2 linked regions of the Anolis sagrei genome follow. The protein of the gene in region 1 interacts with the protein of each later gene in a pairwise test. Links are inferred from orthologs where the notes say so. Each region holds a gene or a part of one and is shown on either strand. Other genes may lie near its edges. The genes, in order: E3 ubiquitin-protein ligase RNF103 and ubiquitin-conjugating enzyme E2 E2.

Region 1 (16,913 bases):
GAGGATGCTTGCCATAGATGCAGGCAAAACGTCAGGAGAGAATGCCTCTAGAACATGGCCATATAGCCCGAAAAACCTACAACAACCCATTAACAACCTTAGATATGCAGATGATAACACTTTGATAGCCAGAAGAGAAGAGGAGCTGAGGAGCCTTCTAATCAAGGTGAAAAAAGAAAGCGCAAAAGCTGGGTTGCAGCTAAACATTAAAAAAACGATTATGGCAACAAGCATGATTGACAACTGGGAAATAGAGGGAGAAAACGTGGGGGCAGTGGCAGACTTTGTATTTCTAAGTGCAAATATTACTGCAGATGCAGACTGTAGCCAGGAAATCAGAAGACATTTACTTCTTGGGAGGAGAGCAATGTCCAATCTCAATAAAATAGTAAAGAGTAGAGACATCACACTGGCAACGAAGATCCGCATAGTTAAAGCAATGGTATTCCCTGTAGTAACCTACGGATGTGAGAGCTGGACCTTAGGGAAGGCTGAGCGAAGGAAGATCGATGCTTTTGAGCTGTGGTGTTGGAGGAAAGTTCTGAGAGTGCCTTGGACTGCGAGAAGATCCAACCAGTCCATCCTCCAGGAAATAAAGCCCGACTGCTCATTGGAGGGAAGGATACTAGAGACAAAGTTGATGTACTCTGGCCACATCATGAGGAGACAGCAAAGCTTAGAGAAGACAATTATGCCTGGGAAAGTGGAAGGCAAAAGGAAGAGGGGCCGACCAAGAGCAAGATGGATGCATGGCATCTTTGAAGTGATTGGGCTGACCTTGAAGGAGCTGGGGGTGGTGACGGCCGACAGGGAGCTCTAGCGTGGGCTGGTCCATGAGGTCACAAAGAGTCGGAGATGACTGAACGAATGAACAACAACAACAATTTTTGCAGTTTTGTATTCATTTTATTGTAATTGTATTATTGGCATGTGGACAATTTCAACAGAAAGGAGGAAACCATGAAAATGAACACAATCTGGCTACTAGTATTAAAAAACTCTAAAATTGAAACAGCACAACAACAGAGAGGAAGCAGGCAGGGACATCTAATTACCTCTCAACAAAAGTTTGCTCGAGGCACAGTCAGCCCATTGTATGCTAATCAAGGTGGTTAGTTGAAACATTCACACCTAGCTCCAGCAGACAAGTGTCCTTCGTCTCACCCTGGTCATTCCACACAGATATAAACCCCTTTTCCTAGTTCCAACAGACCTCACTACCTCTGATTTATTATTATTTATTTCGAGGTTTTATATACCAACCCTCTCACCTTCAAAGAGGGATTCGGACCGGTTCACAACATGTGTTAACATACAAAAAATATACAATAACAACACAATGCCACTTCATTACACGATTAAAATATCAGCACCATACACATTAAAACATTATCTGAGGATGCTTGCCATAGATGCAGGCGAAACGTCAGGAGAGAATGCCTCTAGACCATGGCCATGCAGCCCGAAAAAACCTACAACCCATTTTATTGTAATTGTATTATTGGGCTTGGCCTCATGTAAGCCGTCCCTTTGGGGAGATGGTGGCGGGGTATAAATAAATATTATTATTATTATTATTATACTGACACAAAAGCACAGTATGTCACAGCAAACGAGATCTATATGCTGGATTTCGTATCTCAAAATCACAAGTCGAACACTTTCCAAGCATCTAGGACTGTGTGATGTATTGCCGAATGATGCACGCAGATCCAAGTAAGGTGGCCTTTTGCAGTTGAAAGATCGTGATTTTGTCGATGTTAATTGTTTCCAAATGCCGTCTGAGATCTTTTGGCATGGCACCCAGTGCGCCAGTGACCACTGGGACCACCCGTACTGGTTTATGCCAGAGCCTTTGCAGTTCAATATTGAGGTCCTGATAACGGATGAGGTTTTCCTCAATGCAACTGTCACCTGGTATGGCCACATCAATAATCTAGAAGTCCAAAACACCCGGAGGGCAGAAGTTTGCCCATATCAGGGAAATCCCAAAGTGTAGGATAATTTCAGTTGGAAAGTCCTTTCAATGAACCCAAAAGTGGAGAACTGTGTGTGAATCTACACTTCAGTCTATTGTTCTACACTAGATAAACACATCTCTGCGTATTCAAGTCAGGCATTAACTCAGGCACCTAAGACTGGCCTCCAATTGGAGTCCCTCATTGCCTGCCCATTTCGGACTTTTTGCGTCAAGAGCTTTGACAGACAGTGTGGGAAAAAGGGGGGGGGGGGTGTTGTTTGTTTATATGTGAGGTCTAATGAGTAAACACAGGCTGGAAAGCGGAAGTGACTCCTCGGGGTCTTCCCGCCATTGGTTTAACTTCCGTCGCTTGCTGGCTAGCGATAGAAAAACAGCTTGTGGGCCTCACAATTGAAAAAGCGGATACTCGACCTCAACTTCTGATCTTCTCACATAGCCATATAACCCATAATATCAAGGCAGAAAATCCCACAATGTCTGTTTTGAACAAGGTTATCTGAGTCCACAGTACCATATAATCGAGTTCAATGTGGATTATATATAGGCCCAAATTTACACAAATAGAATCGGAAGAGATCTCATGAGCCATCCAGTCCAACCCCCTGCCAAGAAGCAGGAAAATTGCATTTAAATCACCCCTGACAGATGGCCATCCAGCCTCTGTTTAAAAGCTTCCAAAGAAGGAGCCTCCACCACACTCCAGGGCAGGGAGTTCCACTGCTAAACAGGTCTCACAGTTAAGATGTTCTTCCTAATGTTCAGATGGAATCTCCTTTCTTGTAGTTTGAAGCCATTGTCTGCATCCTAGTCTCCAAGGAAGTAGAAAACAAGCTTGCTCCCTCCTCCCTATGATTTCCTCTCACATTTTATTTATTTATCGTGTCATCAGCAACCATTGTATTACAATTCTAACAGAGCAAAACAAACACACAGATTAAAAAGAAAAAGGAAAAAGAAAAAGGAGAAAAAAAACCACACAGATTTTGCAAATTTGGTATTTGGTTAAATGTTCTTTGACCAGTATCTGGCCACTTGGAGTGCCTCTGGGGTTGCCGCAAGAAGGTCCTCCATTGTGCATGTGGCAGGGCACAGGGTGCATTGCAGCAGGTGGTCAGTGGTTTGTTCTTCTCCGCACTCACATGCCGAGGATTCCACCCTGTAGCCCCATTTCTGAAGGTTGGCTCTGCATCTCGTGGTGCCAGAGCACAGTCTGTTCAGCGCCTTCCAAGTCGCCCAGTCTTCTGTGTGTCCAGGGGGGAGTCTCTCATCTGGTATCACCCATGAATTGAGGTGCTGGGTTTAGGCCTGCCACTTTTGGACTCTCGCTTGCTGGGGTGTTCCAGCGAGTGTCTCTGTAGATCTAAGAAAACTATGTCTTGATTTAAGTCGTTGACGTGCTGGCTGATACCCAAACGGGATGAGCTGGAGATGTCTCTGCTTTGGTCCTTTCACTATTGGCTGCAACTTCCTGGCAGATGTCAGGTGGTGCAATACCGGCTAAACAGTGTAATTTCTTCAGTGGTGTGGGGCGCAGACACCCTGTGATAATGCAGCATGTCTCATTAAGAGCCACATCTACTGTTTTAGTGTGGTGAGATGTGTTCCACACTGGGCATGCGTACTCAGCAGCAGAGTAGCATAGCGCAAGGGCAGATGTCTTCACTGTGTCTGGTTGTGATCCCCAGGTTGTGCCAGTCAGCTTTCGTATGATGTTGTTTCTAGTGCCCACTTTTTGTTTGATGTTCAGGCAGCTCTTCTTGTAGGTCAGAGCACGGTCCAAAGTGACTCCCAGGTATTTGGATGTGTTGCAATGCTCCAGTGGGATTCCTTCCCAGGTAATCCTCAGAGCTCGGGATGCTTGTCTGTTCTTGAGGTGAAAGGCGCACGTCTGTGTTTTAGATGGGTTAGGGATCAGTTGGTTTCTCTCACATACATGGCTATCATGTCTTCTCTCAGCCTTCTCTTCAGGCTAAACATGCCCAGCTCTTTAAGCCACACCTCATAGGACTTGTTCTCCAGACCCTTGATCATTTTAGTCGCCCTCCTCTGGACACATTCCAGCTTGTCAATATCTCTCTTGAATTGTGGTGCCCAGAATTGCACACAGTATGCCAGATGTGGTCTAACCAAGACAGAATAGAGGGGTAGCATGACTTCCCTGGATCTCGACACTATACTATTGCAGGTCAAAATCCCATTGGCTTTTTCCCCGCCGCATCACATTGTTTGGAAATCTCTGTTTATGAACTCACGCACTCACTTCGTTCATCCGGAGAGGCCCCGCTCGTGATTCTGCCTGCGTTGCAGGTCCGTTTGGTGGGGACGTGAGACAGGGCCTTTTCTGTGGTGGCCCCCCGACTCTGGAATACCCTCCCCAAAGATCTTAGACAGGCCCCTACGTTGGCTTTCTTCAGAAAGAATTTGAAGACCTGGCTGTTCCGATGTGCCTTTCCAGAATAGGAAATCTCCAATACCAAGTCCCATAAGCACTTTATTAGAAATTAAGATTGCTGGCACACTGCATTTACCCTATAATCCTTACATATCACCTGCCACATCAGCACTTTTAATCTGTACCCATTACTCTGGCCCGGCCCAGTTTTATTGTGTCTTGGTGTATTGTTTATTGCTTGTTGTTTAATATTGCTTTAACTGTTTTTAATTTGCTTTAGGTTGTGTATTGTTATGTTGTGTTTTGAGGCCTTGGCCTTTGTAAGCCGCATCAGGTCTTTCGGGAGATGCTAGCGGGGTACAAATAAAGTTAATAATAACAATTTGGAAATAGAAGTTATTATCTTACAAATCATATATTTTTGACAATATACATGAATATACAGGCTTTTGTTCGTATTCGCTTCCTGATTGTTACCCCTGCATATCATGAATATTGACTGTCCTGCTGTTTTGAAAACCAGGCAGTACCACCTGTCCACTTCGGCTCCTTTTACACTGCCATATAATCCAGATTATCAAAGCAGATCATCTACATGATCTGCTTTCAACTGGATTATCTGAGTCTACACTGCGATAGAATCCAGTTCAAAGAATAGTCAAACGTAAAACACCCCCCAAACTCCCCTGGGCCATTAAAATAATTAAATTATCTCGCTGGGACTGCGGCAGGGACAAGCTGCAGCTGGCAAGAACCTTATTGAATAGTGCAATTTATGGAACAGCTCTTGGAATATGCTTTTGGACTGCGTGGTTTTTGATATAACATTTTTTCAAGATTATGTGTTTTAAATTACTGACTTTATATGTTTTATTTTATGTTAAAAGTGGCATCAAACCAGAGTATTTCCTACTGGGTATTTTAGATGTTGACTGAGACAGAAATAAAGAGGTGCTATTTAGTTATTTAACATCAGCAGCTAAAATAGTCTATGCTCGATATTGGAGGATAAAAGAAACCCCTAGTTTAAAAGAATGGTTAACCAAAATGATAGAAGTTAGAAACATAGACAGCTTGACACAACAACTTAGATGTAATCAAAATAAAACAACAGCAGCTTGGAGAAGAAAAAAATTAAATTTGGATATAAATGCTATGGGGAGAAGAGTACTCACCCCCACAACTTCGGAAGAAGAGGATGTAGTGTATAAGAAGAGCGGAAAGGAGAGGGTATATCCCAGAAATTAGAAGATAGGGAGCTAAAATCCTTTCACCCTTTCCCTTTTTTCCTGGACCCCATCTTTCTACTTCTTTCTTTTTTCAATCACCCCTTTCTCCTTGACTCCCCCCTTATACTCCCCCTCCATTTCCCTTCTTACCCTATTACTTTTTCCACCTCAATCCCTCCTGATACCCCCCTTTTTATTTTATGTAATTGAATAAAAAGATTGTTTTAAGTGGCATCAAATTGTGCCTTTGTTGTAAACCGCCCTGAGTCCCCTGCAGGATTGAGAAGGATGGGATATAAATTAAGTACATAAATAATATATTCCTGTTTTGCCCAGCGGTAGCTATTCTCTCGCTGGGACTGCGGCAGGATGCTTTTTGAAACAATCTTTTCCTCTTTGGTAGTTATATTGCTCCCTAACCCCTAATAAACATGCATCCTAGTGCGTTATCCTCTACTTTTGCTTCTTTGTATCTTTTTTTGCGTCCCGAGTCTTCTTCCTTTTGCCTTCCACAGCCAGCTCTGGTGGCCAAAGAGCCATGGGGCCCACGTGGCCCCAAGACGACCTCGCCCCCCGTTAAGGGGCTTGTTCTCTCTCTTTTTCCCATATTGACCACCCTTATGTCTCCCTGAACGACTCTACCAGCCCCCGCCCCCATGGATCTTTATTCTGTACATGTTTAATGTATATATTTTATATCCTTATATGAAACTTCTTTTTTGGAAAAGTATGCCACCGACCAAGACCTTTTGGTGATCTTTCGTCAGCACTTCATGACACAGGAACTCCTTCCAGCAGTTTTCCTGGGCACCATCGCATCAAATAAAGGACTCAATCACCCTCGGGGCCAGTCCACCTCTACTGGCCCCATAAATCCAGCTGTGCAGAAGGCAACAGGAATCCGGAGTTTAGGCCACCTGTCCTTTGTGCAGCTACTTGGACATTACAAAGACATCTATCCCCTGGCATGACCATCCCAACAATTAGAAAGTCATGCACCATTTTCCCAGGCCTGGATTCTTAATCCCATCACTTTGGACAATACTCTGCAGGAGAAACAATGGACATGGGCACTGTGGGTGCCAGACACACCTTATTGGGTCACTCATATTCACAAAAGACTTTCACAAAATTCATGGGACTTGATAGCCCCTCTTTTTTCTGTCCCTTGGTGCGACAATGGTGATTAATTCAAAGTACTTGACAATCCTTTGTCTCCCAAACCTGTCTGCCCTCCCCCCCCCCCCCAGCCATTGGATAGTGGGAATCTGTATTGGAAGCAGGGAATGCTCTCCAATTGGCTGGTTAGCGCTGCAGTCCTGCCTCATCAGGGAATCCCACCCAGCTGATTGTGACATCAGTGGGCCTCTGCCAATCACAGTGAAGCTGATTCCAGCTGGGGCAGGTGCCGGAAATTAAAAGGTTTTCTGTCTATAAAAATGTATGTTTGACATTGCAGTGGTATTCAGCTTGGTAAACTACCGCGAATTAGCATCCACTTCAGCTGACTTGAATAAAAAACCTTGGTGGCTTCTTCAACTTGGTGAGATTTCTTTATTAGGAACATTGATTTAGCTTCTTCATTTTGCCAGGTGAACAGACCTACAGGGCAGCGCACTGCCGGTACTGGTAACTGCTGATCAGGACTTGGTATCCACGCTTCAGGTTTCGCTCTCAATGGCTCAGATCTCACTATCTATGGTTGCTTTAAATTGCTGTATTTCAAAAGCAGATAATCTAGATTTTATATGGCAGTATAGAAGAGGCCAAATTGTGCAAACTACTTTTGCACTTTGAATAGGTTTGCACCAGTTGAAATAAGCTGAAGGAAAAGCAACAAAGTGGAAGAAGTTGAAACTTGGGATTGATTGACACTTAAGAATTAATGCAGTTTGAAACTACTTTAATTGGCTCAATGCTATGAAATCCTGTGAGTTGTACATTTTATAGACAGCTGTATAAAATCCCACATTATCTGCTTTGAACTGGATTATATGGCAGAGTGGATTTAGACAGGCCCTATATCCAGGATCTGATCCCGGGTTTTTTGCTTTAAATTAGATTATATGAGCCTGCTCTGCCAGATAGTCTGGGATAAACAGAAAATCTGGAATCAGATCTTGAGATATAGGACCTCTCTGGAAGGGCCCACACACACAGCCATATCACCCAGAATTATCAAGGCAAGTAATCCTGCCTTTGAACTGGGTTGAATCCACCTTGGTGTTTAATCTAGTTCTATGTGGATTTTATACAGCTGCGTGGAAGGGACTCCAGCTCAAAGAAGATATTGTAGATTATCTGCCTTGATGTTCTGAGTTATATGGCTGTGTGGAAGGGCCCATAGTTTTGCGAGGCAGCAGCACTATTTCATAGAGAAGGCTAAAGACCTTGTAAAACTATAATACCCTGTAGACTGACATTTTTTAAAGTAGCTTAAAAAGTGGGGACGGATTCAAGTATGCTTTTATCCCAGGAGCATCCACGTTTAATAAACGTGGATGTCCCTAGGAGGCTGTCTACACCCACTCCAGAAAGCACGTGCTTTCTGTGGTGGGTGTCCAGTTGTTGTTCTGGGACTTCCCAATACAACATTGGGACACTAACCCCCCCCCCCTCCCTGGAAGCCAAATGACGCACCAGGAGAAAGGAGGGGTGCGCAAAGAAAATCGCTCCTCCACTCTTTCTCCTGGCGCGTCATTTGTACGCACCAGGAGAACTCTGGCAGCCGTTCTAGGGAGGCCGGGTGAGTTCTTTTCTTTTTTTCTGAGTTTAGGGGGCTTTGGTCTGCTGGACCGGCCACAGGGAGGCAGCGCTGATGGAATAATTCCAGGGGTTGCATGTGATGTCTATAGACAGTTCATATCTCGCAGGCATATAGCAGGGTTGGGAGGACAACAGCATTATAATCAAACAAGTCTCCCTACAGATGTCCCAGTCCTCAAACACCCTCTGCTTTATTCGGAAAAAAGCTGCACTCGCAGAGCTCAGGCAGTGTTGTATTTCAGTGTCAATGTTGACTTTTGTGGAGAGGTGGCTGCCAAGGTAGCAGAAATTATCAACATTTTCTAATGTTACACCATTAAGCTGCATTTCTGGCATTGGAGTAGGATTTATTTATTTATTTATAATTCAAATTTATATGCCGCCACTTCCCTGGGGCTTGGAGCGGCTTACAAGAACAGTCTAAAATCTAACACAATTTAAAAACAATTTAAAACAATATAAAACAATTTAAAAACAACAATATCAGAGATCAAAGGCCTGTCGAAACAGATATGTCTTACATGCCCTGCGGAAAGCTGATTGGTCCCACAAGGCACAGACTTCAGGTGGCAGAGTATTCCAGAGCGATGGTGCCACTGCTGTAAAGGCTCTGCGTCTGGTTGCTGTTAGACGCAAGGTCTTGACACTGGGAATTTCCAATAGATCTTGGTCCTCAGAACGGAGGGATCTCTGGGGTTGGTAGGGGGTGAGGCGGTCCCTCAGGTACATCGGCCCCAGACCATGCAAGGCCTTAAAGATGAGTACCATCACTTTGAAAGTGATCCGGTGCTCAATTGGTAACCAATGCAGCTGTAGTAAGATTGGTGTTATGTGGCATCTCATCGGAATTCCCGCAAGAAGCCGAGCAGCTGCATTTTGTACCAACTTGAGCTTCCGGATCACCGATAGAGGAAGGCCGATGTAGAGGGCATTACAGTAGTCCAGTCTTGAGATGACCGTAGCCTGGATCACCATAGCTAGGTCGTCCCTGGACAGGTAGGGGGCCAGCCGTCTAGCCTGCCGCAGATAAAAAAAGGCGGTTCTGCTAACGGCGGAGACCTGGGCCTCCATTGTCAGCAGAGGGTCCAAAAGGACTCCCAGACTCTTTACCAATGATGACAGACGTAGTGCCTCACCATCCAGGTTTTTTTTTTTTGTCCAGTCGGGAGCAACCGCTCCTGTTGTGAGAGAATTGGCCGTCTGCAAGGATGTTGCCCAGGGGATGCCTGGATGATTTTTTGATGTTTTATCATCCTCGTGGGAGGCTTCTCTCATGTCCCCGCATAAGGAGCTGGAGCTAATAGAGGGAGCTCATCCGCCTCTCCCTGGATTCGAACCTGCGACCTGTCCGTCTTCAGTCCTGTCAGCACAGTGCTTTAACCCACTGCACCACCGGGGGCTCCATCCATCCAGGGTAGGCAGCTGGATGTCCCCACTGCCCGGTTGACCCAGCCATAGGATCTCCGTCTTTGCTGGATTCACCCACAACCTGCTGACACGCAGCCATCCAGTAACGGCCTCGAGGCACTGATGAAAATAATCGGGTACAGAGTCTGGTCTGCCCTCCATCCTCAGCACCAGCTGAGTGTCATCAGCATACTGGTAACACTCCAGCCCAAAACCTCAAACCAGCTGAGCAAGTGGTCGCATATAAATGTTAAACAACAGAGGGGAGAGATTGGCTGGTGACTGCAGGAAGAGCGCTTTGGTTTTCTTGATGTTCAATGACAGACCAAGATTCTGCGAAGGTGTTTAGAGTGGCTTGTAGGTCTTCTTCTGAATGCACACAGATGATGTTGTCATCAGCATATTGGAGTTCTATAACAGATGTTGTTGTAACCTTGGTTTTGGCTTTCAGTATGCTGAGGTTAAATAGTTTGCCATCTGTCCAATAAAGTGCAAGATAAAGTGCAAGAGTAGTAGTAGTTCTATGTAGTAGGAATGAAGTTTGACGCCAATCTTGACTGTCATGACTCAACGCTAGAGAACCCTGGGCTTTGTAGTTTGCTAAGGTGCCAACACTTCTTGGCAGGGAAAGCTCAAGGCGTAGGAGAACTAGATCTCCTAGGATTCCCTAGCATTGAGCCAGGGCAGTCCAAGGAGTATCACAAACTGCATTCATTCAGCCTTCTCTGGCTCCTCCCCCTTTCCCTCCCTCTTCGCTCAATGGAAGGGGCGGGGCTTCAAGGAAGGAGGCAGAGTTGCCGGAAGCGCGTCCGAAGGCAGCCAGGCAACTCGAGAGAGGCGGCGGCCTGCGGCCTGAGAAGACTTTGGAAGATGAGGGAATAGGTAGGCTAACGAAAACCTGAGGGGGAGTGAGTCCCTTTTCTGGGAATGGGAATTCTGGGAATGGGAGTCCCCAGAAAAAGGACTCCCCCCCTCAGTCTCTAGACAAAACTCTTCAGTGAGAAGGGAGTGCGGCCTTCCCTTTTTTTACCCCTCACGCCTTTTCCTGAGGCTGCGGCCTTGCTTTTCCCCTCTCTCTCCCCCCTCCCCTCTCTGCTTGTCGCCGGCGATAGACGTCACTTGTTGTGTCTCCTTCGACTGGGGCTCTGCGACGACGAAGGCGACGAGTCTCTGGTCTCTCTCTCTCTCTTCAAGAGCCTTCCTTTCCCTCAGGGTTTTCCCCTTTTCCAACCTCTCCTCCTCCTTCAATGACAGCCCCCCTCTTCTTTCAGGGTCCACACCTTGCCTCCCACTTTCATCCCGCTACTAGAGTTCTCTCTCCTTTCTCATTCGTTTGGCAATGCCCAAGAGAGGAATTTACTCGCATTTTTGTGCCTGCCCACACCCCCAGTGGGTCTGAAATGTCCCCTAGCCTTTTCTCCTTAGTTTTCCCTATTAGGATCTTTTAAAAGAGACCCTGGGCGTTGTTATGAATCCTTTCCACTTTTTGTCTCCTCCATCTCCATCGGGACATTTCTCTCTGTCTCTTTTGTAGGATTGATTGACTCTCCCCAGAGAGTCAAGAGAGAAACCCTCCAGCCAAGATGTGGCTCAAGCTGTTTTTCTTGCTGCTGTATTTTTTGGTCCTCTTCATCCTGGCCAGGTTTTTTGAGGCCATTGTGTGGTACGAGACGGGCTTCTTTGCCACGCAGTTGGTGGACCCCGTGGCCCTGAGCTTCAAGAAGCTGAAGACCATCCTGGAGTGCCGGGGGCTTGGCTATTCTGGGCTTCTGGAGAAGAAGGATGTCAGGGAACTGGTCGAGAAGTCAGGTAAGGAAATATCCATTTGTCAGCATTCTGCTCGTGTTCTCTCCTCCCCCACCTTTTATTGTTTATTTGCATTGCTGATTCCTTCTCTTGGCCCTTATACATTACCATATAAAATCCAGATTATCTGCTTTGAACTGGATTATATGGCAGTATAGACTCAGGACCCTTCCATACAGCCATATAGCCACGGCCATATATTCCAGTTCAAAGCAGATAATGTGGGATTTTATTCAGCTGTGTGGAAGGGGCCTCATATAATCCAGTTCAAAGCAGATAATAGTGATCCTCTACTTTGATAATCCGGACTTTTTGGCAGTTGGACCTTAGAGCCTCTGTTAGGTTTTCCTTTTGGTTCAAGAAATTAGTTGCAAGTAGGTTTATTATGCTGTTGCTTGGACTTAGCATAATGCTTGCATATTTTGAGCAGAGACTAAAATGAAAGTTCGCAATAATGAAGATAAGTCACAGTCATGATCCATGTAAGGTTTAGAACAAATGACACATTTCATTTTATAATTCTTAGTGGGACATCTCCGGAAACATTAGAATTAGATGATATGTCATACTCTTTGACACATTTTTAGACATACATCATTTTGCGACACAGTAATTCAGTTTTTCAGCAAACTGAAGGTTAAACCAACCTCTAACAAGAGGCATGGATACATACATAAATTGTAGTAACAAAAAGTATGGGGATACAACATGTCTCATGAAAACTTTTATGTATATATATTTAAATATATGATTTGTAAGATAATAATATCTATGTCAAAGATTTTTGCCATTTAGAAATAAAACTCTAAATAAGAGTCTCATTCTCCGGAGGTTTTTAAGCAGAGGCTGGATGGCCATTTGTCATAAGTACTTTGATTGTTTTTTTTCCTGCATGACAGGTAGTTGGACTGGCCTTTATTGAGTCGCCTAATCTAGGCTGAAAAATGCGGTATAAAAATAAAGCAAATAAATAAATAAATTTATGGTCTCTGCGAACTCTATGATTCTACTATTCTATGATTAATAACATTGCTAATACTAATCAACACCTTTCCTGCATAAATGTGTATGCAAGTTAGTATCACTTATTTCACACAGACTCAGAGATTTCTTGTTTCATTCGTGCGACACCTACACACTGCAACCAATACACTAATGTCTCGCGACACTCAGTTTGGAGAGCTCTCCTATAAAATGTTAGTGCACTTGGCTAAAAGAGCAGAAGAATCCTGAAATGCATCAGGCATGGCGTACCATTTTGAAATAAGTAAGCTCTGTATGTGAGTAGGTGGTAAGGCTATTAAGTCCAGTGTGTAAAACTACTTAACTGTAGCAGAATATGCACAAATGCTTTTATCACATAATATCAAGTACTTGAAGAAAGCTCAGTAGGGAGTAATGCTAGATTAAGATTCCTAGTAATAGCAGGAATGAGCTCAAAGGTTGAAATGCACCCAGATTCTTCATGGAGAATTGCTGGAATATGACTGACATTCTTCACAGCAGTACAGAAAAAACAAATTCCATGTGCAAATGAAAATGATCAAGGAGTATGACAACATCATCTGGTGCTATCTGAACAGCACCAGGAAAAATTATAAAATAGAATTGCCACCTGTTCTAAACCTTAAATTGATTATTACTGTGACTTATCTTCATTATTGCCTACTTTGATTTTGGTTTCTGCTCAGAAAATGTAACCATTATGCTAAGCCTAAGTAGTAGCATTATAAGACTACTTGCAGTCTAATTCCTTGCACGTTTACTTGCAATTTACAGTAGATCCTGTTGACCTCCATATAAGTAAGTGTTCACACTGTTGATCTTTTTCAGTGCAGACTTCAGCATATTTGCACAGAAGTGGGTCTTGCTCAGTAGTAAGATAAGTCATCTCAATATAACATACTGTTCAGTACAATTAGGAAATGGAAGCATTTTCAGAGAAATTATATGTAACAGTTTCCTTGGTTGTTAAGATTTGTTTGCAAAGTGAGGTGTGTCAGAGGTGTAGTTGTTTAAACATCTTTTTGAAATCCTCTTCTAAGCATACTTTCAAACTGACTGTGAACACTTAGGTGTAATAAATCGATGCCCACAAATGCAATAAATAATAGTTTGGTCATGTAAATGTTTGCCTACCAACAGTAATAGTCAGATGAGATAAATTAATATGACTGAGTAATGACTTCATGTCCATAGATGCACTGAGCTGTTAAAAAAGCATGCAAGTACATAACGATTCTCTGTCTGTTCATATAATAATTCCTTAAAACTTGAATTGTGTAAATAGCAATCCTGGCTCTCAGCCCCTGCATACATCTTGGGTGGCTTAATCATTTTATTATGAACATAGGGAAGTGCCTTATAATGAACCAGGCCATTGGTCTGCCTTTCACACTAGGATTGCCACTTTCTAGAAAGTCAGAGAATTGGAAATTGGTCAGGGGGACTGTTCAAAAGACAGGGAAACACAAAGAAGTTGAGACTACGATATACTTGTGTAACAGATTTTTGAAGTGCTCCTTCAAGAGTCTGCACTTGTGGCAGTTAGAGTAGAAAAGAGTAGAATATGATGTACAGGTTCACACATTCCATAATATGGCTGTAGAATCTTGAAAATCAGTATTTTCAAATTCATATAGTCATACTATGGTTGTTAACAGTGACAGAACATAGTAAATTCTTCACATTTGCGGTTTTAACTTCTGAGGTTTACTTGTGGATTTGATTAATATGTTATCAATTTGTGCACAGAATGGCTCTGGAGGACATAGAGATTCCCAGAGAGATGTTCTTCGGGTTTTTAAAAATTCCTTTTTTAAAAAATATGTAGTTTTCATGGAGGTTAAGAGCACAAGACCGCCCACAAAAGCTGAATGCCTCATGTCAGATGATCCTCTGCATGATAGTATTGTTTGTTATGAAAAAATGGATGGCTCCATGCCACTGAATAATTTGAACAGTTAAACAAACTGGAATCAATTTAGTTGATTTGAGGATGCAAATGTTGTGATAGATGTGAGCAAACTAGTTGTCTGGACTTAAAGGCTAAACTCTGTTTCTTCTTGGCAACTCTAAAATCTAGTCTTATCCCAATACTATTATGTGGTCAACAATAAAATGTGATTGGTTTTGGAAATTAGTTTTAAATGAAATTTTAAACTTAAATTTTATATTTGTATGTTAATAAAAATAAAGATTCCTCACACTCTTAAGTTTTGTTCTTGCTTAGTTATTGCTTATTTTGAAATTTCCTTTTTGATCTAAAATTTAGTACAATTTAAAAATAGATGTTTCTTTAACTGCCAGTTAGTGTTCAAAGCAGCTCATGTTTTATCTCCTGTCTTGAAACTGAATCACAGTACTGACAGATGATAAGTTTAACAGCCTACCTGTTCCAGAAATGAATCTTAGGACTAAATTCAACATTATGTTTTTTGTTTTCAGTGAAACTTTCTTGGGCATATCTACACTAATAATATAATTAATGCGCTTCACTGAGACCTAAATCTAAACCACATAGCATGACAAAAACAGCTCTGCAGATTGTGAAGCTCTTTATAGACATCCACCCTTACTGGAGCACATTTTAAAATTCTGGGAACTTCAAAAACACCCCAGAGCTATAGCTAGGCAGCAAGGAGATAATTGACCCCCTTGGACAGGTAATTGATTACCTTCACTCTTAAATGTCACACATCTGGCATTCTCACCTTCTCAACTGGAAATGAAGAGAGGCGGGGGATACATTTTCCAATGGGATACATTCTCCAATGGGATACTGCAGATTCTGGAAGTGATTTGAGGCCACCTTCTGTGGTTAATGTAATCACCTCCTTGGCCTCAAACTTATTACAGATTTGTCAGTCTAATCATTAGCACAGAAAAAAAACAGTTTTTCTCAAATCAGTTCCAAAGCAACCTATATTAGGTGGTTAGTATAGATGTGCTCCCCCTCCTCTCCCACCTGCCACTCTATACTCCCCAAAAACCTGCTCTGGCAGGTTTTCTAGCCAATACTACAAGAGCTATCTCCTTGAATTTTCTATACAATGACACAAGATAACAGGGGATCATCCCCCCCCCCCCCCCCCAATTTTAAGAAATACTCATACATCTACTAATTTTAGGGATTTAAAAAAAGTTTTGACAAAAATGTTTGGGGTCACAACAGCCATCTCATTGAATGTCTTTCATATTAACCAATTCCATTTAGAGATTTCTTCCCAGCTTAGCACAAAGATTTACTTATTAGAAATGTTGGTTAGTCCTTCTCTTTGAAGATTCAACAATTTCTTGAACTCTGGCTGGCTGCTGCTATGAAGGGAAATACCTCTCTCCTCTCCTGATCGGGGCTTTCTGATGCTGAGCAGAATTCTGGGAAATGTAGTTTAAGGCAGAGCCTTGTGCATTCTCTGACATAGGGCTCCTCACCTTCCCAAACTATATTTCCCAGAATTCTGTGCTTCCTTAGTCTCTTTCCCAGCAAACTCTGCTTTCTCCCTGCCCTGCTGCTTACCTTGCCTAATGGCAAGAGGCTACTAATTTTAAAAGGAATTGCAGCTTTTTTGGGTTTGCTTCCTTGTTCTGAAAATGAAACTGACTTTAGGAAGCTTCCAAGATTTACAAAATTCAAACAAAAAAAGTATTGGATAAGTTTCAGTTCTTAAGTTTTTCACACGGGCTATGCCCGCATGTTGGATATCACATTGCAAGTAAAAATTTAACAAATTTAATGTGACTTACAACGACTAATGAAAAAAATGCTCATCCCTAATAGGCATGCACTGGCAGTTCCTTTAAGATCTGCTGAATACCCTGGAAAATGGTGATATAGAGCATTAGTGTTAATCTACTGAGTTGTAGGCAAGTCCATACAAGAATTCTGAAATGGAACTAATTTCGGAATTAGAGGATCAAATGCAAAATAGCTCCCTTTGTGGAACTTGTTAAGCTGTGAAGTGGGTTCAGGGAGTAAGTCAGAGAATGAGTGATATAATTTAAATAAAACAGGAAAGTCTAGTGTGTAAAATAACCGAGAGACAATTTACACATAATTAAATTTAACCTAAAACTAAATTTAGCAGAAAAGGCACTAAAGTGTTGGGTACCTGGAATATATAAACTTAGATTTAAAGGTGTGCCATTAAACTTAGTGGAATATGTATTTTCAGTCAAACGTTGGATTAGTGGATAAATATGTGGATTGAAATAGAAGATATGTGGATTGAAATAGAAGAGTCACATTTTTATTTTTATGGAAAATATCATATTTACTCGAGACTAATGCACCATCAAATCTAATTCGCAATTCAATTTTCAAAACCCTGAA
Region 2 (16,855 bases), about 34 Mb from region 1:
GTTCTTTATCCAGGAAATGTGCTCTTTTCTTGAGGGCTTTCAGAATAAAAAGGTTTACTCTGATTATGGTGGATCTTTCCTGACCTTGCAAGAGGAATGTCAGAAGATCACTTCTGTTGCAGGACCTGCAGATGGACTATATTGGATGTAAATATCTGTTTCGTAGTTCGGCATATGCTGGACAGTCAATCAAGAAATGTTTGACATCTTCCACAGCTTGTTCTCCCCAAATGCAGAATCTCTCACTTCTTGGAATGCTACAGTAACATCCAGTTTGCAACATAATACAGAGTTGTTCAAACCTAGCCCTAGTATATGTTTTTCTCAAGGGTAGCAGGAGTGGAATAGTCAGATAGTGTTCTAAATTAGTATTCCTTTAGAGAGAAGCTAAAAACCTTGTAGCAGAAGGCCTACCTATGCTTGCTAGCTTCAATTGAGCATAGATGTCTTGAGTGCGTTGCATGAGCACTTGTTTTGCCTTAGGTCCTAGATCTTTCAGAAATTGTAAAGGCAGGCCGATTTTAGCCAACTTATTATTTAGAGCCACTAACCATAATGTCTTTTGATCGTGTTGGACTTGATTGTCTAGGCCAGTGGTTCTCAACCTTTCTAACACCGTGACCCCTAAATATGCTTCCTCGTGTTGTGGTGACCCCAACCATAAAATTATTTTCGTTGCTCCTTTATAACTGTAATTTTGCTACTGTTATGAATCGTAATGTAGATATGTGATATGCAGGATGTGTTTTCATTGTTACAAATTCAACATGATTAAAACATTGTGATTAATCAGAAAAAATATGTTTGGCAGAGTATGGAAAACTGATTATAGGATTTGCAGTACCTTCAACCAATTCAGTTCTGACTTCCACAGACCACTGAGACCGCCACACAGAACTCCCATGTCAAACAAAAAAATACTGGAGGGGTTTGGGAGGAACTGGCAGTGATTTAGGGGAGATGTAGTTCACCTACATCTGGAGAGCATTGTGAACCCAAACAACTATGGATCTGGACCAAACATAGCACAAATACTCAATATGCCCAAATTTGAACACTGGTGGAGTTTGGGGGAAATAGACCCTTACATTTGGGAGTTGCAGTTGCTTGGATGTATAGTTCATCTATCATCAAAGAGCATTCTGAACTTCACCAACAATTGAATTGAATTAAACTTGGCATACAAGACTCCCATGACCAACAGAAAATACTGGAGACATTTGGGGAAAATAGACCCTGACATTTAGGAGTTGCAGTTGCTTGGGAATATAGTTCCCCTGTCATTAAAGAGCATTCTGAACTCCGACAATTTGGAATTGATCCAAACCTGGTATACAGAACTCCCATGACCAACATCAAATACTGGAGAAGTTTGGGGAAAATATACATACCTTGACATTTGGGAGTTGCTGTTGCTTGGTGCATTCTGGAGTCTTGGCCTAGATCCGGCAGGGAGGTTCGTGCCTCCGGCAAGCCTGGCAGGCAGTGAGAGCCGGGCACAGGAGGATCCCCCAAGCGGCCTGGCCTTACATGGAGATTCTTGCTGCTGGCCGGTGGAAGAGCAATAGAGGCGAGGGAGGCCTTGCACTAAGCGGCCCTCGCCTGACTCGCACCCCTGCCAGCCGGTGGAGGAGCTGACAAGGTGGAGGAGCTGACCTGCAAAGCCAGCAGCCATTTTGAGGAGGCAGAGGGGGCGGGGCCAACTGAGGCACCTTCGCGACCCGCAGAAAATGGCCCAGCAACCCCCCTGGGGGTCGCAATCCCCAGGTTGAGAACTTCTGGTCTAGGCATAGGCAAGGAAGTCTGCTGGGATTAATCTGGTTTATTTTTGACCAATTGAATTGTCTCATTAAGATTGAGCTTTTGCTGGGGGCATTCCTAACTCTGCCCTTACTGCCGCCTTCAGTGTTGTTCTGGAAAGACCCAGAAGGGAGCAAAGCTGCTTAGCTTGGAAGGCTTCAATCTTAGCCAAATTGATGTGACCCCAAATTTCAGCCCCAAATATAAGTGTTGGCACTTTTGTCTTAAAGACTTCCAGTGCAGATCTGATTGTGCCTGGGTAAGTTTCCTATAGTGTGTTTGTACCTTGCCCCATAATTCCCTTGGGAACCACATGGGATCACACAATAAAGCAGAGTTCACTTGGAAACAAACAACCACAAACAACCAGATATTGAACTGCAACCCTAAGCAGCCACAATCATTATAGTCTATTATAGTCAAAGTTACAGCTTCAACAATATCTGTAGAGCTCCAGGATTCTGATCTGCAATGCAGGCTGTATTAACCTGTAGTTACTTTAGATCAAGGTGATAATGGTTTGCAAAGTACTGCCAAGATTCCTTCACATTTTAATTTAGTTACCGAAAAGATTTATTCAACAGATGCTCAGTAACCCTTTATTAAAAAAAAAAACCCTCCTTGGTTCTCTACCAGTACCACACATAATCTGTCTTATTTCTTGTGAAACTACTTCCTTTTCTCTGAAGCACATTGTTATCATAGGTTAATATGCCACTAGTACAAACTTTACGGAAAGACAAAACACATATAAGCAATGTATTTTAACCTGGAGCTTTGAATGTATTGCTTAAGTCAAAAGAAAATAAATACAAATGAGAACATGTGTTTGTCTAAGGATTTTATGCTCTCCTTGTGCTCAGACGGTGGAAAATTTTGAAGTGCCATATTGAATTAGGAATTTAGTAGTTGTTAATCTGAAGACAAATTATCCTGGAATCACCTTCTGCAATTATTTTACTTGGCTATAATCTCTTTAAACTAGCACATAAAGACAAGCTTTCATTCCTGACACTAAGCAATGATTTATTTTCTGAGAGCTTTGTGGAAGTCAGAGACAAGTTATTCATTTTTCCATCTGCAATATATTTTGTATCACTTAGGATGTGGCATATTTCTACAACACTTAAGATGGCTGATTTCACATTGTTATTTAAAAGTAACACCCCCTCCACATTGGTGATTACATTCAAATGGTACTTAGGTGAAAATGCTTCCCATAAAAGAGAGGAGAGGAGATGCAACCAAGGATGCTTCAAAAGAAAACTGAGGAAGATAAATACGGAGACATTGTATGTTCTTCTTACTTTTGCATTTTCTGATAATGAACACTTTTGATTTATGTTGTCAAGAAGTATAATCAAGTGGTTCAGTACTTTAAACAAATAATGAAATCAAATGCACAAGTTCTTTCTATCCTGGAAAATTATTGAAATCCATGATGAGCCCCTGGTGACGCAATGGGTTAAACCCTTGTGCTGGCAGGATTGCTGACCGAAAGGTCAGCGGTTTGAATCCGGGGAGTGGGGTGAGTTCCCATCTGTCAGAGTGGGGACATGAGAGAAGCCTCCCATAAAGTGGTAAAACATCTGGGCATTCCCTGGGAAATGACCTTGCAGATGGCCAATTCTCTCACACCAGAAGCAACTTACAGTTTCTCAAGTCGCTCCTGACATGAAAACAAAAATCAATTAATATTTTCTTGGGGATTTTCCCAATGTAAATGAGATACCAATTACAAAAGAAAAAAAATGCAAGGTATCATATATCCAAAACTATTATCTCACAACTTTACTTGCAGCAATGCCAATTTACATGTAAACTGAATAGAAACCATGAATTCAGACGCATGAGAGACTTCGGCTCAGTGGTTTAACATATCAGTATCTTGTGGCAGTTTTCAGGACTAAAATTAAATCAAGAGAAAGTGAAGAACATTTGAAATTTTTAGGGAAGTTAAGAACATACTTCAAGGGTGGGTCAAGGTGTTCACTATTTTCAAATCAAGGATTACCAGCAAAGCAACTGTCACATCTCCATTGTCAACTGAAGGCTCTGTCTTCTAAATACTTTATTTTCTGTAAAATAGCAACCTGTCCAACAATGTTTTTAAGACCAGGAACACTACTTAGTTAAAGACATGCTAGAAAATGGTTGTTGCCCTACTATATTATTAACAGTTTAAAATGAATCTCGCTGCCTGCAGCATTTGAAATGCCAGATTCTGTATACAGCATTTTTGTGCGGATGTGGATTTATTGAGAAGTATGTGCATGGCAGACATTATTTTTTTCTATCCTGGATTTACTACTATAAAGTGCCCTGAGGAGAAATTGATTCTAAGACGTGTTAAGTGGGTACCTCTGAAATGCAGAAGTGGAAATAGTGATATAACAATTTAGCATTCATGCAATATTGTTTGACAATTACACTTCTATAACAAGTTTGTATCCCCATACAGGTTGAGAACTCTTATACAGAATTCCAAAATTCAAATCTGTATATATTGATGGCCCCCTTATGGTGAGGGGCTAATCCTACTGTTCAAAGGACATTCCTCTAGTTCAGCAGTTCTCAAAGTGTGCTTTGCAAAGCCCTTAGGGGGTCAGTGAAGCACAGTCAGTGAATCACACTGCAGGTCCTCCTGCTCCCCACTGCCTAGGAAGCACGTGGCCTATGGAGTCCCATTGGGGTTATTATTATTATTTCAAAGGCTGGATGGTCATCTGTTGGGGGTGCTTTGATTGTTCTTTTCCTGCATGGCAGATGGGGGTTGGACTGAATGGCCTCTGGGGTCTTTCACTGAAATACTGTTAAGTTTGTGTTGATTAAAATTGTTCTTGATTTGATATATTGTATTGTTCAGTTCTTGTGGGGTTTTTCGGGCTATATGGCCATGTTCTAGAGGCATTTCTCCTGACGTTTTGCCTGCATCTATGGCAAGCATCCTCAGAGGTGAGGTCTGTGACATGGCCATATAGCCCGAAAAAACCCACAAGAACTGAGTGATTCCAGCCATGAAAGCCTTCGACAATATATTGTATTGTTCTTTCTTTCTTTTGCACTACAAACAATTGTAGTGCAAATGGAATGATATGCATTTAGAACAGGAGTCTTGGCTTTACTGACCTATAGTTAAAATGGATAGCAGAAAGAGGGTTCAAAGGCGACAATAATATACATCTATTTAAATGATAGTCACTATGTCTAAACTTGGATCTAGATAGAAAAAGAAGCATGTATATATTTTATTCAGTTTCTTATGTCCTGGTTGATGCATTTCCTCTTGTTTTACAATGTAAGTGTTGTGAAGCTATCATACCCAATATTTTAATACTTAATACACTAAATAAATAAAACCTGTCTATCTTAATGGAAAGATTATTACCTAAAGTGTAGGCAGTAATCTTTCCATTAAGATGGACAGCTTGTATTTCTTTAGTTGGGATTTGACTTGATGTATAATGTGCATTGGCAGAGGGCATGCATGTGAACACAGAGTTCATGCAATGACCACAGATGTCAGAGAATGCTGTAATTTTCAGTAAAGTCTGATAAATATATTTTGATTTTACAATAATGTATTACATGACATTGATTGTTGAACATTCTGCATGAACACACACAATTATATGTATTGATTTGGAGTTTCTTTTTCAGGCTTTCTTAAACTCAGTACATGTTAAGAGCAGAAGTGTTTTAGATTTTGGAAAGTGTGTATTTGCACATAAACACAAAATGAAATAATTTGGAGATTTTTTTTATCGTGTCAGGAGCAACTTGAGAAACTGAAAGTCGCTTCTGGTATGAGAGAATTCGCTGTCTGCAAGGACGTTGCCCAGGGGATGCTCAAATGATTTTGATGTTTTAGGGAACGTCCGGATGATTTTGATGTTTTTATCATGCTTGTGGCAGGCTTCTCTCATGTCCCCGCATGAGGAGCTGGAGCTGATAGTGGGAGCTCATCTGCCTTTCCCCGGATTTGAACCTGTGACCTCTCGGTCTTCAGTCCTGCCAGCACTGGGGTTTAACCCACTGCGCCACCAGGAGATTTGGAGATGGGACGCAAACGTAAACAAAAAAAAAATCACTTATATTGCATATACACCTATGCACATAGTCTAAAGGGATGACACCAACTTTGAACCATTAGAAACTAAAGGTACTGCTGTATGGCACACACATAGACAATTTTGGATATTGAGGTATTTTGGAATTCCAGGTAAGGGATGGTTCTCTGCTTTAAGTAGTAGTTTTTGTGTTCTTCCTCCCCATTAGTGCTATGTTGTAATAACATATCCACACCCTTTTGACAACATTCAGATGTTTGTGAAGAAGTTTTTAACATGGGAAAAACTGGAAGGTATGTTATAATGAGAGTCAGCATGTTACAGTCCTTTGAGTGTCGGGACACTGGGAGACCAGAGTTTGAATCCCCATTTGGCCATGGAAACCACTGTGACTTCGAGCAGGGTACACTCTTTCAACTACAGAGAAAGGCAAGGGTAAACCCCTTCTGAACAAATTCTGCCTTTTTATAAGTTTGTCTTAGTGTCACTGTAAGTTTGAAATGACCTGAAGGCATTGTAATACTATTGACAATATTATACTGATGAAATTACAGAGTCAAATAGTGCAGGATTCTGCTGAACATTCTTCCTAATCTAGAAGTCCATGCAACTTAGGAAAGAGAGTCATGATGGAAGAATTTTATTAGAATTTTATCTTATAACATAAGATAGAAAGCTTCCTGTTCCTAATTTTGAGTAAATCTTTTTTGATCCTCAATAAGCTATACATACTTTTTAAAAAATTACTGATATACTGTGTATACCTATGCATAAGTCTAGAAATTTTAGAACAACATTCATCCCAAAAATATGGATCGACTTATCCACTGGTTAATGCGAGTACTATAGTTTAACTCCAATCAAAAAAATGAGCTATACCCTTATCTGAGTAGAATGGCAAAAAGTGAGAGTTGAGGCTTTCTAGGAGAACCTAAAGGAAGAAACTAAATATATCATCTGCTCTTACTGTGGACTTTAAGACACAGTGACCTTTCATAAGGTCAGAGAGAAGTTTAAAGAATATGCAACTCTTTAAACGTAGATTTAATGCTCACAGGTTTTGTTCAATAGATATTTATCTCAACCCTAGATTCTGACAGATGCTTATGTTTGTTCTTTGCTTCTAAAACACATGCTCATTGCAGTTTGGAAGTAAAAACCCAGATGTTTCAGACATGATGCTTTATTTTCAGATAATCCCTAGGCAAAACATATCTGTTTTTGATTGTCACATTTGCACACCATTTTTAGAATAGCTCCAGTGTCTCACTTCCAGTTCTACCTGTTCCCAGTCAAAAATTCTTCATATGCAGTCTAAACCATGATGATCTTTTCTTCCCTTTTCACTCCACTCCCATCATATTATCAGTTTAATCAGAATGGAGACTACTGAGAACATCTTCACATGACGGGAGATAAAACATCCATACCAATTGATAGGACGGAGCAAATTAGAAGTATATATGAAGATACTGTCTCTGTTCTGTCCAATTAATCTTTTATTTCATACTGCTTCTCCTCTCCTTCCAACCCCCCTTTCTCAAGTTAAGCACCAATGAATCAGAGTATATGGTACCAACTAGCTTCCTGATAAAAAATGGGATTTTGCTAGATGACTGGGGTATGCATTGTGACACAAAGAAATATAACTTTCTGCACTTCAAACAGCAAACTACAGAAAACAGTTGCTGTTCCAATCAGGACAAAAAGAGGTCAGTGTATCAAATTTGCAAGAAATAGCTGCCAATTCCTCCAATTGTTAATCTGCCACTCCATTATGAGGCATTCAAAGATAAGGAGCGAGTCTAAGATACTTGTATCAAACTGTGTTGGTGATGAAGTAGAGCAAGCACACTCACTTTCCCTCTCTTTTACAGTATAAGGAGGTTTGGGGCTTGCTTGCTTGCTTGCTTACCCTAGAGCCAGGCCCGTAGTCAGGATTTTGTTTCGCGGGGGGGGGGGGGGGGGGGGGGAGAGCTGAGTTTGATTCGGGGTGGGGGGGGGAGGGCTGAGTCTGAGTGAAAGGGTCTACCCTAGCAAACCTTTTGTATCGTTACCCCAATACCCCCATGTACATGGGATATATTGAGCATGGTGATCAGATCATGATATGAATAACATAACAGTTTAAATAATGTACCAGTAAGGCCTTCTCGCGGACCACCATGACCCCCCCCCCCCCCCAGCTATATGCCTGCCTAGAGCCAAGACAAGGCCTACATAATGCAGCTGGGTACAATCCCCACTTCTCAGACAGGACTCAAAAGGAAAGTGGAAGTTATTATTGTCCAAATGTGTGAAACATTGTTTATACTTATGCACACTCTTAGTGGCCCAGTCTAACCCCCCCCCCCCCAAAAAAATCCCCATTTTATTCAGGAAAGGAAAAGTCAGCTTAAGTGGCTGAGAGTGAAAAGGAAAAGGCCTGAGGCTGTTAGGAATTGTGAGAGTTAAAGTCCAAAATACCTGGAGGGCCCAAGTTTGCCCTTGCCAGGCTTAGCGGCACTTGAGGTGCACTTTACATAATTTTACTCCAAAAATGGTAACCCAAATCTGCTGGCACTTTGAAGGCCCTCGTGCTCTGCCCTCAATCTTTCTCCGGGCTCCATTCTTCCTCCACAAAGAGGATGTTTGGACCCCTCGAACTTCGAAGCAGTTGAGTAAACAGTATACTCTTTTGAGGTGGAAGAGAAGGCCCCTCACCTGAAGGGAACTGACCCCTGTCCTAATATGGGGTGACCCTGTCAAAAGGCCACCTCAGGCGACCTTCCCTGCCATTAGGCCCCCTTTTGCGTCTGTCAGTCTATCAGTCAGTCAGTCAGAGCCTCCTCAGGCTTTGGGCCGCCACACCCCTCACATCTTGAGTGCAGCTCTCTCTCAAGTGAGAGCCAGTGTCCTCTTAGGGAAGAGAAGCTGATGAGGAAACACAACATACAAACTATCGACAGACCCACCAAGAAAATCCAACAAATGCTACATTCAGCAAAGGACAAGAGGGATCCTCTTACTTCTGCAGGAGTCTACCGTATACCATGCAGCTGTGGACAACTCTACATAGGGACCACCAAACGCAGCATTGCCCAAACACGAATCAAGGAACATGAAAGGCACTGCAGACTACTTCAACCAGAGAAGTCAGCCATAGCAGAGCACCTAATGAACCAACCTGGACAGAGCATATTATTTGAGAACACAGAAATGCTGGACCACTCTAATAATAATAATAAACCTTTATTTATACCCCGCTAACATCTCCCGAAGGACTCGGTGCGGCTTACAAGAGGCCGAGGCCAAATACAACAGTAAAACAGTAGCACAACAAATACAACAATAAATAAACTCATAGAGCAAAGCAATAAACATTAAGCAATAGCAATAAACATTAAACAATAACACCACAACACAGTTAAAATCTAAGGCTGGGCCAAATGTAATGATTAAAAATTTAAAATATGCTGGACATGATCAAGTGAAATGGATAGGTTTTTGGAGATAGGTGCGGTATGCAATTAATCTAGTAAAGTGCATTTGGGACATGATGCATGGAGTTTCCTACTCTGGGAAGGCACACTGGAACAACCACGTCTTCAAGCTCTTCCTAAAGACCACCATGTCGGACTACACAGAGAAGCCATTGAAATCCACAAGCATGTGGACAATTTCAACAGAAAGGAGGAAACCATGAAAATGAACAAAATCTGGCTACCAGTATTTTAAAAAAACTCTAAAATTACAACAGCAAAACAACAGAGGGAAAACAATCAGGGATATCTAATCACCTCTCAACAAAAGACTGCTCCAGGCACTGTCCGGCCATCAAATGCTAATCAAGGTGGTCAGTTGAAACATTCACACCTAGCTCCAGCAAACAAGAGTTCTTTGTCCACAGAGATATAAACCCATTTTCCTAGTTCCAACAGACCTCACTACCTCTGAGGATGCTTGCCATAGATGCAGGCGAAACGTCAGGAGAGAATGCCTCTAGAACATGGCCCGAAAAAACCCACAACAACCCAGTGTCCTCTTTTCTTCCCTCTCGGCCCCGCCTTCTCTGTCCTTCCGAGCGTGGCCCCGCCCCCGCGCTAGCCCCGCCCCTTTCCCCCCTCCCTCCCGCCTCCCTTCTAACTCGAGATACGGACTCCGCCCCCTCCCTCCGCTGGCCCCGCCCCCTTTCCCTTTCCTCACACACCTCACTCAGCCTCCTCCTTTTAACTCGCCCCCCTCCTTCCCTCCCTCCCTCCCTGGCGGCGGCACGCGGCCTCGCTTCCCTACGGGCCACGCGCAGGCGCGCTCTCGCCGCCGCCCCCTCCTCGCCGTTCTCCTCAGCCTCTCGAACTCTTGGCTTAATTGGCCCAGTCGGGAGCGCGCTGCCTCTCCGCGCGGCGGGTTTACTTTTCCTCAGGCGGCGGTGGAAGAGGAGAAGAAGAAGGAGGAGAAGGGGGAGAGAGGAAGGAGAAGCAGCAGCAGCTGGAGAAGAAGTCACCGTCGTCGAGCGGGGGAGGGAGGGAGGAAGAGGGGGTGGGCGCACATGCCTCAGTGACCGGCCGCGGAGAGGAGCTGCCCCCTCCCCCGCCCTCGCCGCCTGAAGGACTGACACGAAGCTGGAGAGCGCCCACCCGCCTCCCTCCCTCTCTCTCCCTCTCTGCCTCCCCCACAGGTAATAACCCCCCCTTCCTCATGAAAGTATCCCCCTATTTTAGAAACCCAAAAGCCCCGCCTCTCGCAGCCAGAAGGACTGACCGCCCCCTCCTCCCTCCCTCCCTCCCTCCCTCTCTTCACCCCTCCTCCCCTTCATCCTGCTTTATTGCCCACGAGGTAAAAATCCCCTCATGATGCCCCCCCCCCAAATCCTCCTTCACTTGGGGGGCGTCCTTTCAAGGAAAACCAACCCTAAAGCCCCTCAGTCTCTAGTTAATCCTCTCCACTATTCATCTGTTTAGCAGGACTGGCCGAATAGTTCCCTTAAGCCCCCTTCCTTCGTCTCCAGCCCCCCCCTTTCCTCAGCCCCCCCCCCTTTTTGTGTCTTAACCATTCAATTTCTCCCACAGACGACATCAATTCCTACAGACTACATGGCCTCTAATCGCCAATTGCCCTCCTCAAGGCCCCCTTTCAATACTCAGCACTCCTAGGCCTTCTGTACACACTGAAGTGTGTGTGTGTGTTTAATATTGAAAATAATCCAGATTAGTATTTGCTTTGAACATAGAAATTCTCCTCTGTCTGGGAAAGGCAACCCCGAATTAGATATTGCTTGCCTTCTAAATTTTGCCAAGATTACACTGATTCCAACCTCAGTCACTAACCCAATTTTGCCCCCTTTCTGTACAGTTAGGGATGCTCCCAAGCCTTCTGCATAAGCAAAAGTGTGTGTGTACTTTTTACCCACATTAATATTTTCTCCAAACATAGAAATGTTCCTCTTTCTGGGAAAGGCAACCCTGTATTAAATATTCCTTGCCTTCTAAATTTTATCAAGATTACACTGATTCCAACCTCGGTCACAAACCCCATTTTGTGCACTTTTTACCCACATTAATATTTGCTTTGAACATAGAAATGCTCCTCTGTGTGGGAGAGGCAACCCTGTATTGAATATTCCTTGCCTTCTAAACTCAATTATTTCAAGATTACACTGATTCCAACCCACTGCTGTCTTAAACCCCATTTTGCCCCCTTTCTGTACAGTTAGGGATGCTCCCAGGCCTTCTGCATAGGCAAAAGTGTTTGTGCACTTTTTACCCACATTACTATTTGCTTTGAACATAGAAATGCTCCTCTGTCTGGGAAAGGCAACCCCGTATTAGATATTCCTTGCCTTCTAAATTTTGTCAAGATTACACTGATTCCAACCTCGGTCACGAACCCCATTTTGCCCCCTTTCTGTACAGTTAGGGATGCTCCCAGGCCTTCTGCATAGGCAAAAGTGTGTGTGCACTTTTTCCACACATTAATATTTGCTTTGAATATAGAAATGCTCCTCTGTCTGGGAAAGGCAATCCTGTATTGAATATTCCTTGCCTTCTAAACTCAATTATTTCAAGATTACACTGATTCCAACCCACTGCGGTCTTGAACCCCATTTTGCCCGCTTTCTGTCCTTGACAGTTAGGGATGCTCCCAGGCCTTCTGCATAGGCAAAAGTGTGTGTGTACTCAGACCTCACAACCTCTGAGGATGCCTGCCATATATGCAGGTGAAATATCAGGAGAGAATGCTTCTGGAACATGGCCATACAGCCTGGAAAACTCACAACAACCCCATGTGTGTACTTTTTACCCACATTAGTATTTGCTCTGAACATAGATATGCTTCTCTGCACGGGAAAGGTAACCTCGTATTAAATATTCTTTGCCTTCTAAATTCAATTCTTTAAAAATTACACTGATTCCAACTTGAATCTCTTTTGCCCGCTTTCTGTACTTGGCAGTTAGGGACGCTCCCAGGCCTTCTGCACATGCATAAGTGTGTGTGTACATTTTATCCACATTAGTATTTGCTTTGAACATAAAAATGCTCCTTTGACTGGGAAAGGCAACCTGTATTAAATATTAATTGCCTTCTAAATTCTTTCAAGATTACACTAATTCTAACCGTGGTCACGAACCCCGTTTTGCCTCCTTTCTGTACTCAGCAATTAGGGATGCTCCCATGAAAAAATGTGTGTGTACTGGGTTGCTGTGAATTTTCTGGGCTGTATGGCCATGTTCCAGAAGTATTCTTTCCTGACGTTTTGCCCACATCCATGGCAGGCATCCTCAGATTGTGAGATATATTGTATGTAATTTTTACCCACATTAGTATTTGCTTTGAACACAGGGCAAAGGCTCCTTCTTTGGAGTTTTTAAAGGAGAAGCTGGATGACCATCTGTCAGGGGTGCTTTGAATACAATTTTCCTGCTTCTTGGCAGGGGGTTGGACTTTATGGCCCACGAGGTCTCTTCCAACTTTATGATTCTATGAAATACAATGGTTCCTTTGTCCAGGAAAGGCAACCCTATACAGGCAGTCCCCAAGTTACGCACAAGATGGGTTCTTAAGTTGGATTTGTTTGTAAGTTGGAACAGGTACTTTTATAAGTGTACCTCTGGCATGCACACACATACATATGGTATTTGTTTTGCTGTCTGTCATCCAGGTCAGAAGATTCCACCTCACTTTTTGTTCCTGTAATAATTGGATTTATTTAAAAAATGTGGAAACAAGGATTGGTGATAAAGCTTCAGTAGATAACTGTTCTAGGAGTGGATTTCCCTTTCTGGAGGTTCTCCCACTTCCTGCTGTTGTGAGTTTGCCAGACTGTATGGCCGTGTTCCAGAAGTATTCTCTCCTGACATTTTACCCACATCTATGACAGGCATCCGCAGAGGTTGTGAGGTTTGTTGGAAACTAGGCAAGTGAGGTTTATATATCTGTGGAATCTCCAGGGTGGGAGAAAGAACTCTTGTCTGCTTGAGGCAAGTGTGAATGTTGCAGTTGGCCAGCTTGCACCTTCAAAGGCTGGCTGAGTGCTGCCTAGTGGGATCTTTTGTTGCGAGGTGTTAGCCGGCCCTGATTGATTCTTGTCTGGAATTCCTCTGTTTGCTGAGAGCTGCTAAAACTTCCTATGCCCTTTTAAAATAGTTTTTGCAACAGGATCATAGCCCTTACTGCTATTGCCTTTCTCCAAAGGATAGGATTGCAGCCAATTTTGCAATAGTCCCATTTATTCAGATATGACTCTTTCCATTCTAGGTCGTTAATGTCACAGATGCAAGGCAATAGGGCCACTTCTAAACTCACTATTCATGCCCAAAGTTCTTAATTCTTTAAACCTGTGCTGCTCAAAGCTGTGTCCGTGGATTGCTGCCAGTTCATGAGCCATCAGCTGCTGGTCTCTGGAGGGCTTCCAGGAAAGAAAAAAAAAGTAGTTGTTGAATGGGCACAAATATGGTACTGGGCTTAGTACATTGGGGTTTTAAATTGCTGGTCCCCACATCAGACAGATTAAGAAGCAATGTTCTAAACCATTTTTTGTCCACATAGTTGCCTTTAGTCCATTTATTTCTCAGCTCCCTAAAATGACCTGAAATACTTTATTCTTATACACAGTTGTTCTCCTCACTGAATATATTACTTTCTGAATATATTACTTTCTGAACAGAAGCACTTCAACCCTGAATCTGAGGTAGCATGGTACACTGCTGTTTGACACCACTTTAATTGCCATGGCTCAATGCTGTGGGATCTTGGTATTTACAGTTTGAGGAGATACCAGCACTCTTTTGCAGTGAAGGCTGAAGTCCTTGTAAAACTACAACTCCCATGATTCCATAGCATTAGACCATAGCAGTTAAAACAGTGTCCAATTGCATCAATTCTCCAATGTTGATCAGGGGTGTCAAACTCATTTTCACCGAGGGCCACATCATCCTTATGGTTGCCTTCAAAGGGCTGTTTGTAATTGTAAAACTGTATAAATGTAACTATGTTGCCTTGGCATTGAAAGCCTCATGGGCTACATAAAATGAGAGGACGGGCTAGATTTGGCCTGCAGGCATGTTTGAGGCATGTGGTGTAGATGAACCATGAGTCTCATGTTGATTCTTTTCAATATAGCAAATACTGAAGTGTGACTTTCCATATGGGGTTGGTCTCAGTCTCTTGGAATTCTTTATTATTAGCTATACTGGCCAAGTTACTTAGAGATGTGCTAGAGCAACATCTGGAGGCTGTAGTTTTCCCACCCTTACAAGATTTCCATCATTCAGTGGAGGAAAAGAGCCTTTATTAGACTAATAGCACATTCCCCTGCATAAGTACTCAATGGAAAGTTGCGAATACATGGCAATATATAGTATTTTTGTAGTCTTGGGACTACTTTTCATTTGACCAGTTTTTCTGTATGAATATAATTTCCTCAGAATTACATGACAAGTCTCATATAACTGAGACAATATGTGCAAACACATGACAAAAACAGTTCTCCCATACAAGATTTTCATGCCATCCCATGTGGGAAAATTGACCACTCATTTATTGTGGTTGACAAGTGTATATTAGACTCACATAACTGTTCACATAAAAGTGATATTGATGTGAGAAATTCATCTTGTGGAAATTCATCAGCATTTGATTCTCACTTCCTTAGAGAATCCCAGATGATAAACTACCAGTAGCCAAACCACTAAAATCCCCATTATGTCTGAGTTATTCATACAGGTTCATTGCATGCTACTCTCCTTATATATCTTTTCATAATAACAAGCAGATTTCCTGTAACTTCTTCATTGTAACATACCACCATTCCCTTGAGCTGTTGTATTATTACCACTTTTCCTGTTTCTGTTGTTTGTCCTACTAGTTCATTGTTGAAACATATTTCTTTTAGAATAATGCCTATATGTGACTACAGTAGCACACAGAGTGGGGAATCACTCAACCTAGAGTTGCTCTGAAAATACCAAAGGTTTTGGTGCTGTCACTGTCCTGCTTGCATTTATCTTCTTTGTCTTTGTCCTTTTACATGCCAGTAATCCCTTCAATGTGTCCATGTGCAGTAAATCCACTTTTACTTCCCTAGTCAGTGAGATAAGTTCTTTATTGAGAAATAATACCAGTTCCTCTCTCTTATGATTGCTTGGAGTCCTGAAATTGGGGAATATGACAACTTCCCATTTTTCTCCTATTGAAAACCCATATCAATTTGATATGTGGGAGAATAGGCCATAGGCTTTTGTGAAATAGTATCTCATGTTGGGGAATTTCTGACTTCCCCTCAATTTCAGTTCCTGGTTTCCTTCTGGACTGCTCTTAATATGCATCCCATATCTGCTTGAAGCCTTCCTTTCAATTTTACTTCCAATCTTAACCCTTTCACTGTCTACTTCTCCCTGGTTTCATTTTCTCTCCTAGCTTCATCCCTTTCAATGCCTCGGTTTCTCTTGTTTTTTCCTTTCCAAGGGAAGTGCCTGAGAAAATGTTACATTTTTAAAAAGTGACCATTTTAGCCTCCTTCCATTTTCAGTTCTGCATAATTATGTCTGTGACATGTGGCTTCCCACCCCTCTGGGGAAATTGAAAAATAGGCGACTTGTATATACGCTGTGTCTGCATCAGTCCAGCACATCTGCTTCTCTTCTCCACCCCCATCACAATCTCTGGCCTAGTTGGTTATAAACCAGCATCCCACCCCCCCACCCCCAATCCAATGGCGCGATCCTTTCACCACGATTGGTTTCTAATGAAGGTGATGATGATCATAAAATTTACCTGTCTCTCAAGACATGAAGTGGGGTACAACATAGTTAAAATACATAGATAAAAACATAAGATCATTAAAACACATATATTATCAGGAATAGATCTAAGATTCAAACACTTCAAAATCATTCATATCAACAATATATACATTTTAAACCCATAGTTTAAAACTGACAGGGTAAGCCTGCTGGAAGTGATGGGTCTTTAATTCTGTTTTAAATTCTGACAGTCAGGAAGTGCTTGCTGCTACTCGTCATAGATCCAGAAAAAAGTTCAATTTATATTTGTTTATAGGAGATTAACAGTTACTTTATAAAACATTTCTGTCTTTTCTAGTTGTTTTTTTACTAGAGTTTTGTGTATTCTTTTAGAAGTAGTGGAAGGGCAGAGAAGGAAAAATGTGAGGTTGTGAAGTGGTTCTGTGTATTTGTATTTAAAAGTTGTAGAGAGCCCATATAGTTTTGCGGCCACATTCTGCTTCATTATATTGTGTTCTTGGAAAGACTTTAACCTCTTTGACCCTTCTGTGGTCCCATCTTTTTCTTTTAGCAGACACATAAAAGCCTTTTTCAGATGTGGAATAATTTAATAGAAAACGGATTTAGGCAGTGTCCCTTAAAAACACACACACATTCATTGCACCATGACATAACCTTGAGGCGACTTGATTGTGTGTGGTATTAATAACTGCAATAAAACATTTTGCTACAGTCTCACACTCCTCTGTTGATTTTAAGTTTGTT

Evidence for each region.
Region 2: the proteins of E3 ubiquitin-protein ligase RNF103 (region 1) and ubiquitin-conjugating enzyme E2 E2 interact in a two-hybrid assay, tested with the Homo sapiens proteins (2 studies listed by BioGRID). The link is inferred for Anolis sagrei from reciprocal best matches to the Homo sapiens genes RNF103 and UBE2E2.

Annotation. Positions count from the first base shown.
Region 1 is NC_090026.1:52,481,669-52,498,581, reverse strand, and holds the start of E3 ubiquitin-protein ligase RNF103, read left to right. Parts: upstream 1-10,532; 5' UTR 10,533-10,657; intron 10,658-11,309; 5' UTR 11,310-11,358; coding exon 11,359-11,584; intron 11,585-16,913. UniProt on the Homo sapiens protein: Acts as an E2-dependent E3 ubiquitin-protein ligase, probably involved in the ER-associated protein degradation pathway.
Region 2 is NC_090026.1:86,088,087-86,104,941, reverse strand, and holds the start of ubiquitin-conjugating enzyme E2 E2, read left to right. Parts: upstream 1-10,081; 5' UTR 10,082-10,527; intron 10,528-16,855.